4 linked regions of the Nothobranchius furzeri genome follow. The protein of the gene in region 3 interacts with the protein of the main gene of each other region in a biochemical or structural test. Links are inferred from orthologs where the notes say so. Each region holds a gene or a part of one and is shown on either strand. Other genes may lie near its edges.

Region 1 (3,520 bases), on a different chromosome or scaffold from region 3:
AAGGGTATAGAGCTGGTCCACAGTTCCACGGCCAGGACGAAAACCACATTGCTCCTCCTCTATCTGAGATTCAACTATCGATCGGACCCTCCTCTCCAGTACCTTGGAGTAGACCTTTCCAGGGAGGCTGAGGAGTGTGATCCCCCTATAGTTGGAACACACCCTCAGGTCACCCTTCTTAAAGATGGGGACCACCACCCCGGTCTGCCACTCCCTAGGAACTGCCCCCGATGACCACGCAATGTTGTAGAGACGTGTCAACCATGACAGCCCTACAACATCCATAGCCTTGAGATACCCAGGACGAACCTCATCCGCCCCCGGGGCTCCGCCGCTGTGTAGTTGTTTGACTACCTCAGCAACTTCTGCCCCCGAGATCGGACAGTCCATCCCCAGGCCTCCCAGCTCTGGTTCCTCCTCGGAATGCGCATTGGTGGGATTGAGGAGCTCCTCAAAGTATTCCTTCCACCGTCCGACTATAGCCTCAGTTGACGTCAGCAGCTCCCCATCCCCACTGTAAACAGTGTGAGCGAGTTGCTGCCTTCCTCTCCTGAGGCGCCGGACAGTTTGCCAGAACCTCTTTGGAGCCGATCGATAGTCTTTCTCCATGGCCTCACCAAACTCCTCCCACGCCCGAGATTTTGCCTCGGCAACTGCCACTGCTGCACCCCGCTTGGCTATCCGGTACCTGTCTGCTGCCTCCGGAGACCCACAGACCAGCCACGCCCTGTAGGCCTCCTTCTTCAGCCTGACGGCTCCCCGAACCTCTGGTGTCCACCAGCGGGTACGGGGGTTGCCACCACGACTGGCACCGGCCACCTTACGGCCACAGCTAGCAACAGCCGCCTCGACAATCGCAGAGTGGAACAAGGCCCACTCGGACTCAATGTCCCCCACTGCTCTCGGGACGTGGTCAAAGCTCTGCCGGAGGTGGGAGTTGAAGACCGTCTTGACAGGTTCTTCTGCCAGGCGTTCCCAGCAGACCCTCACTATGCGTTTGGGTCTGCCAGGTCTACGCGGCATGTTCCCTTGCCATCTGATCCAACTCACCACCAGGTGGTGATCAGTTGACAGCTCCGCCCCTCTCTTCACTCGGGTGTCCAAAACATACGGTCGCAGGTCAGATGATACGACTACAAAATCTATCATCGACCTGTGACCTAGGCTGCCCTGGTACCAAGTGTACCGGTGGGCATCCTTATGTTCGAACATGGTGTTCGTTATGGCCAAACTGCGGCTTGCACAGAAGTCCAATAACAAAACACCGCTCGAGTTCTGATCAGGTGGGCCGTTCCTCCCAATCACACCCCTCCAGGTCAAGCTGTCATTGCCCACGTGAGCATTGAAGTCCCCCAGCAGGACAATGGAGTCCCCTGATGGAGTACTATCTAGCACTCGTCCCAGGGACTCCAAAAAGGGTGGGTACTCTGAACTGATATTTGGCCCATAAGCACAAACAACAGTCAGGACCCGTTCCCCGACCCGAAGGCGCAAGGAAGCTACCCTCTTGTCCCCCGGGGTAAACCCCAACACACAGGCAGAGAGTCTCGGGGCTAACAAAAAGCCAACCCCAGCCCTCCGCCTCTCACCCGGAGCAACTCCAGCAAAGTAGAGTGTCCAACCCCTCTCCAGGTCTCGGGTTCCAGAGCCAATGCAATGTGTCGAGGTGAGTCCGACTATATCAAGCCGGTACCGCTCAACCTCTGCCACAAGCTCCGGCTCCTTCCCCGCCAGCGAGGTGACGTTCCATGTCCCAAAAACTAGTTTCCTTGTCCGGGGATTGGACCGCCAAGGCTCCCGCCTTGGTCTGCCACCCGATCCACACTGCACCGGACCCTTCATGTTCCTCCTGCGGGTGGTGGGTCCACAGTTGGACGAGCCCATGTATCCGGTTCGGGCTGGGCCCGGCCGGGCCCCATGGGCGAAAGCCCGGCCACCAGGCGCTCGCTCACGGGCCCCAACCCCAGGCCTGGCTCCAAAATCATTAGTTTAATTTGAATAATTAAAACTTTTAATCCTTCAAACTTGTTTCCTCATTGAACTGAAACACAGACACTCAGATATTATCGGCAGTTTATGGATGAAAACAACCTTTGAGTCTTCTGAACAATATAAAATTTGGTTATTGATTTATTAAAATTAATATTCCGAATTAATACGTAGCACGGTTTCTCTTTCATAAAAGAGCATAAATCCATAACGCTACACATGAGACCCCTGAACTTTAACCTGAGGGTTTCAGATCAAACCGTTTGTTTCATCTGCTACTAGTCAACAGTTTGACAACGATTCTGCTGGGGATGTTGCAATCACATATTTTTGCTCCCGATTCGATTCGGAGTCATCTACCGATACAGTCCGAATTGATAATTTTCAAGAAAGCATTAAAATACGTTGTCCTTAAAGTTTCACTTTCACTAGTTTAGGAAGTACACCGATTATAAAACAGTGTCAGGATATGTGTAAAATATGTTCATTATATTATGAACATATTTAAAAGTACCATCGTTGCTTATATTTCAAGTTGTTTACTCCCTCGGTATGCAGCTGAATTGATCAATGCACGTTTCCACCAACTAATGGCAACTAAGCCATTGTTACTCCATCTGAAAATCTCTCTCTCAGGATAAATTAAAAAAGTCGTGTTTTCCGATCATTTACTCCCAATCCTTTTTAAATCTTTTGATTGGGCCTGGTTTCTGATCACGGGATTGGATCGGAGCTTCCCTAGTTTCTACAAGTTTTCTGGAGAGTTGAGCTGTCCAGATACATTTGACAACTGATTTTAATGAATCCTTTCCTTAATAATTAATAGAATTACCAGCTGATGCATGACAAATGCGACCAGTTCTAGAGCACTGTTCTAGTTTCAATTTTGACAAAATATTAGGCGTTACCACACATGAACGCCAGCGGCTGATTTTCACCTTCGATGAGGAATGGCTTCTTGTCGTTGATGTACATCAGACAGTAGGCACTGGCATTGCGGTAGCCTCCAAACGAGTCCCTGACTAGCTCCTCCCAGGACGACTTGGTGACGGAGATGTCATTGTACTTCATCCAGCAACACTGATGAGGATCGTAGATGTACGCCCAGTAGTGACCCGCGTTGGCCTGGCCTTCGTGGACCAGCACTGCATGAAGCCGGTATGGAACCTACAAAAATACAAGGGAGGTCAAAAGGAGCTGCCGGGTGATGTGCACCGATGTGTGAGTGTTGCTCACCTGCATCATGGATTTGTCGGAGTACATCAGGTCTATGGATCTGTGGATTCTGCTTATGCTGCCCTGCAGGTCTGACAGGAGGAAGACCGTCATGTCCAATAAGTGAATGTGTGCAAATCAAACGTTCTGTGTCCATCTCCAGCAGTGGTCTCAGAGACTTACCACAGGTGTCGTTCTCCACCTCGCTCCTCCAGCGATGCAAGCAGCCCTCGAGCACCCTCAGCTCTTCTTCAGTGATGTGGCGTGGGGCAGGGTGCATGGGCAGGTCAGGGCGTAGCCGGGAGTGGGTGAAGGG
Region 2 (3,520 bases), on a different chromosome or scaffold from region 3:
CAAAATTTCAAATGCAGACAGTATTGGGACAACTTCATACTACTACTACTAATAATCTTTGTGGTAATTAAACAGCAAAAGAAGAGGAGACGAACGAAGCACAAACCATTTATGTTATGGTTTTTGTCTCTTTGGGAAATGCAAAACTCACCTCATAAGTTCTTCCAAAGCCAGTCATTCTAGATGAGATGTACCTAATGTGTGGATAGGTCACTTCAGAAATGCCAGTGTGCTATGGAGGAAACCAAAGATGATACAAAAACACACACATTATTACAAACCCAGGGAAAAGATCAACAGTCCAGTCTGAATTAGGGTTGTCACGGTAACCGGTGTAGCGGTAAACCCCGGTAAAAAAAGTTAATAATGACTGTTTTGTTTAAAAAAAAAATTTATCTCGGTGGATTACAGTGGCTGCGGTGTAGGAGCGGTGACCCTTACCAGCCACCGTATCATCTGCTGAAGTTGCCGGCAGCACATGAGCACTTTGTTGTTTACAACCAAAACTTTCTTGAAGCTAAAGCTGAAATAATGGCCAAAGGAGGAGATGGCAGCACTCAGGACATTTTTATCCCTCAAAGAAGACAAAGTGGGAAGTACGGGCATTTTTTTTGGATATTTGAAGAATGCTGAGGGACAGTTGATAGAAGACAGACGGCTATTCTGTTTGCAGCACGTGCAGAAAAAGTGTCTGTGAAAGGCAGCAACGCTTCAAATCTCATGACACATCTGCGTGACCATCACCCACAACTCTACAGTCAACGCAAGGCAAGCTAACGTTAGCGTTTTAGCTAAAATGTGTGATCCGAGGATTTGGGTTGAGGGAGAATGCAACGAGTCGCTATATAAAGCAGCCGCAGCGCCGCTACCTGCATATAAACCGTGTTGCGGACACCCCCATGTTGAAATGACGCTATGCATTACGGGGCTCCCAGGGGCAGATAAGAGTTGGTCTCTCTCCGAGAATAATTATGAATTTAACAATGATTACTGCCTGATGACATTTTCCCACATCTGCAAAGCTCACTGGAAGGACACAAACCGAGGACGATATTTTCCTGATATAGGGTTTATTACTCAAGTAAGGGTAAAAAAAGTATCTGATTAGAAGGCTACTTGAGTACCGAGTATCATCTGATCTAATATTTTTTAAATGACGACATCAAACAGACAAAAAATAATAAGTTATGGGCAAATATTGGTATTTTAAAGACTAAAAATGTAAACAAATAAACAACATAATTACAAAATAACACATTTTAGGCAAAATTCAGACACAAACTGAGGACAATATTTTCCTGACATACAGGGTTTATTTAGTTGTCTGAAAAGGCAACACGTTAAAAAAATACCGCGATAATACTGAAAACCGTGATAATTTTGGTCACAATAACCGTGAGGTTACATTTTCACACCGTGACAACCCTAGTTTGAATACTTTGAAGCATCGACATCGATGAGAGAAAATCATCATCGGTTCTAAAAACATCTATAAATGTTGACTTCCTGATCAGGATATGCGGTTCTAAAAGTGTTCATGGTAATCATGTGATGGTAAAAGTCACAGCTAATTACAAAACTGATGAACCGCATCACAAAGCTGCAAACTAAAGACACGCTGGATGTGAGTCAAGGATCCAGGATTTGTTGAGCGTGCACTCCAAGTGCCTGATGAGCCGCGGCTAATTGCTTCTGAATTATTCATAACGTTTACAAAACCATCCTTGAGATAACCGATGCTCTAAATAAGCATTCTCGGCTAGACTTATCACGTAAGCGTGCGGGCTGAGGGTTTCACTTACCATGATGGAGATGGGGAAGTGGTGCAGTCTTGGGGGGGCATGATAGTGGGGCAGGTGGGGGTGGAGGTGCCCTGAAGTGTACGGTGCCACGGGAACACTAGCCTCGATGCCAAGCTCCCTGTTGGCGAACAGTAAAGCGTCACTAGGTGTGACTTTTTAAACCAGGAAACAGAATTTAAACATTTAAAACATCTTTTAACTTTTAAATTACCGACTTAAACCAAAACAAATTTGGGTGGAACTAAAAACTAACTGGCTGCTGCCGATACGGACCATGTTGTTCTTTGCTCCGGCTGGCGCGGATGGGAAGACATAGTTTGTGGCACGTGTATGTGGTGCCCATGACCATAGTTGGGGTGCATTCTGTGAGGGTGTGGAGGTGGACGCTCGTGTGCTCGCCTGCAAAAGGAAGACAATGAAAAAAAAAAAGGGGGAAAACAGGCTCCATAAATAAAAGTTGACTTTTTTTATAGCATCATGATGCTAACACTTACGTAGGGTGCTGCATCATCCTCCGCCGCTGAACCTCCATCCTCTGCAGCATCTCGTGTTGATGGAGCCGCTGCGCCAGAGATGGCATGTGGTGCGACAGGGTCTGGTGGTCCGTAGGGAGGTGCTGCGCTAGCGGGGCACTTGAAGTGGAGAGGTGGTGGGTGGACAAGGGAGGGGGAGGGGCGGGGGGCACGGTGTGCCCCGGAGGGTGTGATGGCAGCGGTGTGTGAAAGGGTGGGGAAAAGTTGTGGGGAACGAAAATGTCGCCCTGTGGAGGAGGCTGAGCTGTCAGTTGGGGGTTCCCATGGGAATGGGGGCAGGCGGAGGAGGGCTGATGGTGCAGCGATCGTGTTAGGGAACCGTCTGAAATTAAAATGAAACGCAAAGAAAACAATCAGGAAACAACTTTCTGACTATAGCGACAGAATGATACAACTCCAGATGAACACTCTTCTTATGAGCATCTAATAAATATTCATGTTTCTTTGTTTTATCCAGAAACAAACCATTTAGTTTCTTTTTGAATCTGTACTTTCATTTAAAGAAAATGGTTGATTTGTTCTTGTGAAACTAACAAGATGACTGCTGCGCCCGTGCAAAACGGTTTTTGTTCCAAACAGTCCCGTTCTGTCCTCTAAATTAGGACAAATCTTAAACTAATCTAACCATCATGCTGTGTTCAATCAATAAAACATGATGTTTGTCATTTAAATGAACCACGAACCATTCATTTATGCATTTTCCTTTTTGTTTTGGTGCAAATTTCTTCATCATCTTTTATGGCCGAGGTACAAGAAGAGAAGGTGGAACCAGCAGCCACAGATCCATCCTACACCAGGAGGCCTGTGAGACGGTTTCACTCTCCATACTAAATTATTCTGAGTACCAATTAACTTCGCCTGCCTGGAACAGCTCCCACCGCACTTGGGACATTAACCATCAGTCTCTTAATTACTATTAGCATTAGGTTTTAGGAGTGTGTGTGTGTGTGTGTGTGTGTGTGTGTGTGTGTGTGTGTGTGTGTGTGTGTGTGTGTGTGTGTGTGTGTGTGTGTGTGTGTGTGTGTGTGTGTGTGTGTGTGTGTGTGTGTGTGTGAGTGTACTATTTCCACCAACGCTATGGCATCACAAATGAATTATCACAGTGCAGCAGGAAATTCCTGAAATTCTGATATAATTAAGTAAACTGGATTAAACCGGAGATGAATGTCTGGCTTTCTGTTCTGC
Region 3 (2,723 bases):
GGTGCTGTGCCTGCTGGCAGCTGTGCTAGCCCTTGTTCCTCTCCTCTGGAATCTGAGCTCAGTTGTGACAAACCAGACCATCGCGTTTCCACCCGAGTTCGAGTTTCCTCGGGCACCAGAGTCCCAGCAGGTGGGAGGAGGCATCGGCGTGGGGATTGTGGGCTCTGTCCTCATGATTGTGTCTGGGATTGTGTTCTGTTCGTACAAACTGCCAGAGAGAACAATACCCATGATGCTTCACTCTGTGCTGGAGCAGCTGCATCAGAGCACTTCCTCAGCATCAGGACCAAACGACCACAAGGCTGTGATCCCCAGTGGCAAAGACAACCCAGCGTTTGACATGGCTGAATACTTCTGATTTATTCTGAGACCCCACATGACTCATCTTTATTTTGAATGACTTTTGTACAAAACTAAGATCACAGGTTCATGCATTTTGTATGTTTTTCTTTCCAATTCAGCAGGAGTAGAAATATTTTTAAGAACAAGCACACAATAAAACACACACACGAGCATTTTCCGTTAAATATTTTATTCAAATAAAAAAATCACATCTCCCATCATTTCAAACCATCTGCATCAAGGTTCCTCCACCCAATCACAGCCCTCCCGGTTCAGGTGGAGACGAGTTCACCTGAGCTGCTCATTATTCAAACACCGACAAGTTTAAACCAAAGGTTCTGAACTTTTTTATTGCATGCATCTCTGGAAGGAAACAACTCATTTATTAAAGTGTATGTCTATAATTTAAGCAGATGTAACTCCACATTGTTACAGATGGTGGAGAAAACCCTCGTGTGGCAGTAGAGACGGCTGATCTCAGGTCAGTTCATGCTGTCAAACATCGGATCACATCCTTATCCAGCTTTACGAAGCAGTTCGGGTTGTTTTTATCGGGTTCAGATTTCATCACAAGACATGTACGCTTCCAAAGAAGCACCAAAATCATTGCTTAAAAACATTTGAACTGCTGGACAGAATCAGCAGAAAGTTTTCATCTATATATACTTTATTCCATTCAAACACATTAATGCTGAACACAAAATATACAAGACAAGCACGACTAAAATAAAAAAGTCATAAAATATCAGCAGAGAAGTTTTAGTTTGGATGAGATGTAGAAAACTGATTTAATCCACAGAAGCCCAGATTACGGCCCAGTAATCCCAGCCTGAGCAGAGACAGGGCTGTTGAACCACCCCAGTAAAAGTAGAAAATGAAACTCATTTTAAGATTTACTGAAAAGCTTCCTGGGATCCTTTTGGATCACAGAAAAAGTGTTTTTAGAAAATCCAAATTTAGAATCAAAAGGTTTTTTTATTTAAATGAAAACATCATTTTACATTGGTAGTTAAATATAAAAGACACATTCTGGTTTCTGACCATTCAGTAAAAGAGCTGTTGTCATGGCAACCTCTGAAGCCCTGAAGTTGCAAAGAAATTATAAAATCTTTTAGAAGCAGACACGTGTTTCACTGCCTGGACCGTTTCAAACACTTTAAAAGTTACTTCTATATATAAAAAAAAAATAAAACCACTCACATCTTAGTTTAAAGAGCTAAAGTCAAGCAACACTAGAAATTCCGTCTCCTGCTTCGTTTGAACTAAATCTGGATATTGTCCATTTATTTCTCGTTGAGGACATTTCCCAAACAGGAGCAGAGCTGAAAGTCTTAAACGGTGTGAAATATCCGGGCTTCAGGACAACAACGTTGTTGGTTTTTATAACTCATACAGCCACTTAAAAATCAGTACGTGTTTTTAACATTTGCTTTTATGACGTTTATTTCTGAACCCTTTGACAAGTGATTAAAAAAAACAAAAGCAGCAACACAGAGGCATGATTTGTGGGAATCCGATATGACGCAGAATGCTAAAGCTCGGGCTGACAACGAGAACGTCCTCCATCTGCAGAACCAGGGACCTGCTGTCTGTGCACCTCCCTGTCTCACACCTGGAAGCCCAGTGAGTCCATTATGATCCAGATGGTTTGAAAACAAACAACAATACATACATACAAAAAACAAAACAAAAAAAATCAAAATAATAATAAACTGAGAGGTTTAATCGTTCCAAAATCCCCCGGTCTGTTCTTGATACACCTCGATGACGTCTTCATCTTCCATCCCAAGCTGCCAGCGACACACAGCAGAGAAATCAGCAAACCAGAAACGTTAGTAACTCCTACAGTCCCACATCTGTGATATAGTGAAAAGCTGCTGATCTAATCATCTTGTTAGGACTCCGGAGACAAACCGTGACTATAAAATACACGACAGCAGCCCAGATAAACGAGTCAGTGAAAGGTTCAGAGCGTAAACAAAACAGATCGGTGAGAATGAACACACTAAGAACAGTTTCAGCATCAACATGACAGAATAATAAGGCCACGGCGGCCATGTTTACCTCTTTTGGAGTCTGGTTGTCTGCGATTCTCTGTCCCTCAAACAGAAACCTTAGTGTGCTCGCTGGGACGCCCTGTGAGAGAAGCACCAGAGGACACATGAAGACGTTTGGGTTCGTCGAGTTTCTCTTTGTTTGGTTTAGAGTAAAGAATCGAGCAGCAATAGGAGCTACAGCTGATCGTACCTGTCTCTGGCTGTACGACTCTTTGAGTTTCTTTAGATGTGTGGTCATTTTCACCTTAAAGTGGATTTCACTGCTGTCCTGTTGCACAAACAAAAGGGTGAGGCAGCAATGAGAATCTGTTCATTTACTGCTTG
Region 4 (3,788 bases), about 8.7 Mb from region 3:
GGGGGAGCGGTGAGCTGCAGACACAGCCGCGCTCGGGAACCATTTGGTGGTTTAACCCCCGAATCCAACCCCCTTAATGCTGAGTGTCAAGCAGGGAGGCATTGGGTCCCATTTTCTCAAAGTCTTTGGTATGACCCGACCAGGAATCGAACCCTGATCTCCCAGTCTGAGGGCGGACACTCTACCACTAGGCCACTGAGCTGGAGAGATCAAGTCACTGATATACGAACAAACAAATGAAAGTAAGCGGTCCATTCTACGGCCATCACAACCCAACATGCATGCGGTGGCCGTATTGGGTTTGAGGTGAGGCCTGCAGGAACCTCTGACTGGGGAAGGTTCCGGTTAATGTTGGAGGTCATGCATCTTTTTTCATCGTCCATTGAACGTTTAGATTTTTCCACCGGTGACCGTTAACAAACATGCTCTCTGATCTGATGATTAAAGTTCAGATGAACCATCAGTGGGCTTCTCTAGTGCTTCTGTAAGAAAACTAAATGTTGTCATCGTAAAACACATTTAATCTAGTATTTATACAGAAATCAGGACATTAGAAACGAGCGGTTGCTTTTTCAGACCCCACCCCTCACCCCTCTCATACCTTCTACAACAGAAACATTCATGACTTCATCCCATCCTGGTGTTTCAGTACAACTCTCAGAAGTTCACAACAAACATAAGACACTGGTGTGACCAGTACGATCCAGGTACTGGTCTGCAGGAAACATCTGGTCTTCAGTGGCCTCACAGCTAAACAGTCCAAGCCACGACTTCCTGCTGCTCAGCCGGATCAATCCTTGGCATCGCCAACGCCGTCGGCATTAATGGCAAACATGGCTTCAGCCTCCGGCAGGCAAGGGGAGTCGTAGATCTTGCAGATCCTGGTCTCTCCTCGACCCTTCCTCAGGTACAGGCTGCATAGGTGAGACACAAAGTGTTAGGAACACCTACGGCAACACAACAGCAAAGAGGCACAAAGGTTCTGTTTCAGGGCCAAGGCCAGGTGTTCCCACCGAGTGGTGGAGGCATGAGCCAGAATGTTGCCTCCAATTGGTTTCTTGGGATCTGCAGAAAACATGGCTGCCCCATCAACCTGCGCCACCACCTGGTTGGTTATGACCACTGCAACGCCAAACTGCAGAAACACAAAGATGAGACTTCAGGAGCCCAAATGGGTCCCATCAACAAGTACCCATCTCCCATTCATCCAGAAAACAAACAAACAAGCGCATGCACAAACACAGTCATCAGGCAGGAAAATAAACAAGTCTGGATTTCACCATCAGAAGGTAATTCCATAGATAGAATAACTATTTCCTGAACTTGTAGCCACAGACATCAGCGCGTCCAGCCTACCTCGTCCGCCAGCCGGAGCAGCATACGCAGAAACCGTCCCAGGTGTCCCTGCCTCGCCGACAGCTCCCCTCTGCCCGAATAGTCGGTTCTGTACAGAGCCGTGGCGCTGTCCACGATCAGCAAAGCATACCTGACACACACACACCACAGGAGGTAACTGGTTACAGGCCAAGACACCAGCTGCACTTAAAGCCCTTCAAAATAAGAGCATCAAGCGACGCCCAACACACATGCATACAGGAAGTGTGCCGCTGTTGACTTTAGTTACGATCTTTACATAAATATTTAGAAAAAACTAAGGCCAGGAATCAATTAAAATAAATTACCTAATTAATTGAAAATCTAAAAAAACTAAATCGCAATTAATCACCCCCCCCCCCCCGAAAAAGCAAGTAATAAACGTGCAAAAATATACAAGAGAGGTTAATCTTATTTAGAAAGTGCATAACTTGTGTGTAAAATCACTGAATACCGTCTTTAATAGAGAAAACCTAAAATCAAATCCAGTTTGTGTTGAAAAACATTCTTTGAAAACGTTTATTGGGTAAACAATGAACAGAAAATAAATCTGGCACAGCTAGATTATGTTATTGTTATTTGTGTTGGCTGACGCGGCTCTGCAACATCGCGTCGACATCGGGGGCAGTCCCACTGGACTGGCAGACCGGGGTGGTGGTCCCCTTATTTAAAAAGGGGGACCGCAGGGTGTGTTCTAACTACAGGGGGATCACACTCCTGAGCCTTCCTGGTAAGGTCTATTCAGGGTTCTGGAGAGGAGGGTCCGTCGGATTGTCCAACCTCAGATTCAGGAGGAGCAATGTGGTTTTCGTCCTGGCCGTGGAACACTGGACCAGCTCGATACCCCTAGGAGGGCCCTGGAGGGTGCGTAGGAGTTTTCCCTACATGTGTTTTGTGGATTTGGAGAAGGAATTTGACCCCCTTGGGGGCCCTGTGGGGCGTACTCCAGGGGTATTGAGTACCAGGCCCTCTGATACAGGCAGTTAGGGCCCTAAATGACCGGTGTCAGAGCTTGGTCCACATTGCCGGTAGTACGTCGGGCTCGTTCGATAGGTGGATTGGTGCTGCGTCTGCAGTGATGCGGGCGTTGTACCGGTCTGTCGTGGTGAAGAGAGAGCTGAGTCAGAAGGCGAAGCTCTCGATTTACCGGTGGATCTACGTTCCTACCATCACCTATGGTCATGAGCTTTGGGTAGTGACCGAAAGAACGAGATCACGGATACAAGCGGCCGAAATGAGTTTTATCCGCAGGATGGCTGGGCTCTCCCTTAGAGATAGGGTGAGAAGCTCAGTCATCCGGGAGGGGCACAGAGTAGATCCATGCTCCTCCACATCGAGAGGAGCCAGTTGAGGTGGTTCAGGCATCTGGTCAGGACGCCTCCCTGGTGAGGTTTTCTGGGCACATCCAACCGGGAGAAGGCCTAAAGGGAAACCCAGAACACCTTGGAGGGACTATGTCTCTCACCTGGCCAGGGAACACCTCGGGATTCCCCCGGAAGCGTCATTTGGCATTCTAGAATGTCCAAGGAAGGTCCTACCTTTCTCGCCTCTGATTGGCTGGAAGGGCTCTACTACGATTGGCTATTTCGTGTAAGAGGAAACCGTTTTCCCTCGCTGCAAGTTTTTATGTTTACAGCCAGATCTTGAGAAGTTTTTTGAAGAAAATGTGAACTCATCGCTATAATATGTTCATGTTTATGTATTTAGCAGACGCTTTTGTCCAAAGCGACTTACAAGTGATAATCGGCATGTTGCCCTTGAGGCCAACAACAACAACAACAACTTGACATCAGTCATGGAGAGGAGGGAACAAGGAGTGGACAGTAGAGAGGGGGGACGGGTGCAGGGAGGGTGCTAGTTTAGAAGATGCTCTCTGAAGAGCAGGGTCTTCAATTCAATTCAATTCAAAAATACTTTATTAATCCCAGAGGGAAATTGAGTTTCCTGAAAATAGAAAAGGAAGCCGCAGTTCTGGTAGAGCTTGGAAGGTCATTCCACATTTGTGGAACGATGCAAGAGAAGAGTCTGGATTGTCCTGAGCGTGGTGTAGGCACTGCTAGCCGACCATCCTGTGGTGACCGGAGCGGCCGGGCCGAGACGTAAGCCTTTACAAGAGGATTCAGGTAGATGGGAGCCGTTCCATCTCGGACTTTGTATGCTAGTGTTAGCTATTTGAATTTGATGCGTGCTGCTAGCGGTAGCCAGTGGAGCTCAATGAACAAAGCGGCATGAACGAGCAACAGAGGCAACATGATCTTTAATAAATAATAATAATAAACATCCTTTCCTGTTTAGCAACAAATCAGGTTCAGTTTCTTTCAAAAAAGCCAGAAAAACATCAAATGTGAACTTGTAATAATTCTTGTAGCATTTTATCTCCCTGTAGACTGACTATATCTGTTGGCTCTATTGGT

The links.
Region 1: the proteins of sumo1 (region 3) and usp25 form a complex in vitro, tested with the Homo sapiens proteins (2 studies listed by BioGRID). The link is inferred for Nothobranchius furzeri from reciprocal best matches to the Homo sapiens genes SUMO1 and USP25.
Region 2: the proteins of sumo1 (region 3) and rnf111 form a complex in vitro, tested with the Homo sapiens proteins (3 studies listed by BioGRID). The link is inferred for Nothobranchius furzeri from reciprocal best matches to the Homo sapiens genes SUMO1 and RNF111.
Region 4: the proteins of sumo1 (region 3) and rad51 form a complex in vitro, tested with the Homo sapiens proteins (2 studies listed by BioGRID and IntAct). The link is inferred for Nothobranchius furzeri from reciprocal best matches to the Homo sapiens genes SUMO1 and RAD51.

What each region holds. Positions count from the first base shown.
Region 1 is NC_091750.1:42,750,411-42,753,930, forward strand, and holds part of usp25 (ubiquitin carboxyl-terminal hydrolase 25), read right to left. Parts: coding exon 3,388-3,520; intron 3,297-3,387; coding exon 3,226-3,296; intron 3,157-3,225; coding exon 2,928-3,156; intron 1-2,927. UniProt on the Homo sapiens protein: Deubiquitinating enzyme that hydrolyzes ubiquitin moieties conjugated to substrates and thus, functions in various biological processes including inflammation and immune response.
Region 2 is NC_091749.1:59,511,177-59,514,696, forward strand, and holds part of rnf111 (E3 ubiquitin-protein ligase Arkadia), read right to left. Parts: intron 2,658-3,520; coding exon 2,297-2,657; intron 2,202-2,296; coding exon 2,076-2,201; intron 1,921-2,075; coding exon 1,803-1,920; intron 233-1,802; coding exon 152-232; intron 1-151. UniProt on the Homo sapiens protein: E3 ubiquitin-protein ligase. Required for mesoderm patterning during embryonic development. Acts as an enhancer of the transcriptional responses of the SMAD2/SMAD3 effectors, which are activated downstream of BMP.
Region 3 is NC_091743.1:83,218,422-83,221,144, reverse strand, and holds the end of sumo1 (small ubiquitin-related modifier 1), read right to left. Parts: intron 2,668-2,723; coding exon 2,590-2,667; intron 2,479-2,589; coding exon 2,407-2,478; intron 2,133-2,406; coding exon 2,064-2,132; 3' UTR 516-2,063; downstream 1-515. Other genes in the region: claudin-34, read left to right, coding at 1-358. UniProt on the Homo sapiens protein: Ubiquitin-like protein that can be covalently attached to proteins as a monomer or a lysine-linked polymer.
Region 4 is NC_091743.1:91,872,523-91,876,310, reverse strand, and holds the end of rad51 (DNA repair protein RAD51 homolog 1), read right to left. Parts: intron 1,487-3,788; coding exon 1,357-1,486; intron 1,136-1,356; coding exon 1,014-1,135; intron 915-1,013; coding exon 791-914; 3' UTR 501-790; downstream 1-500.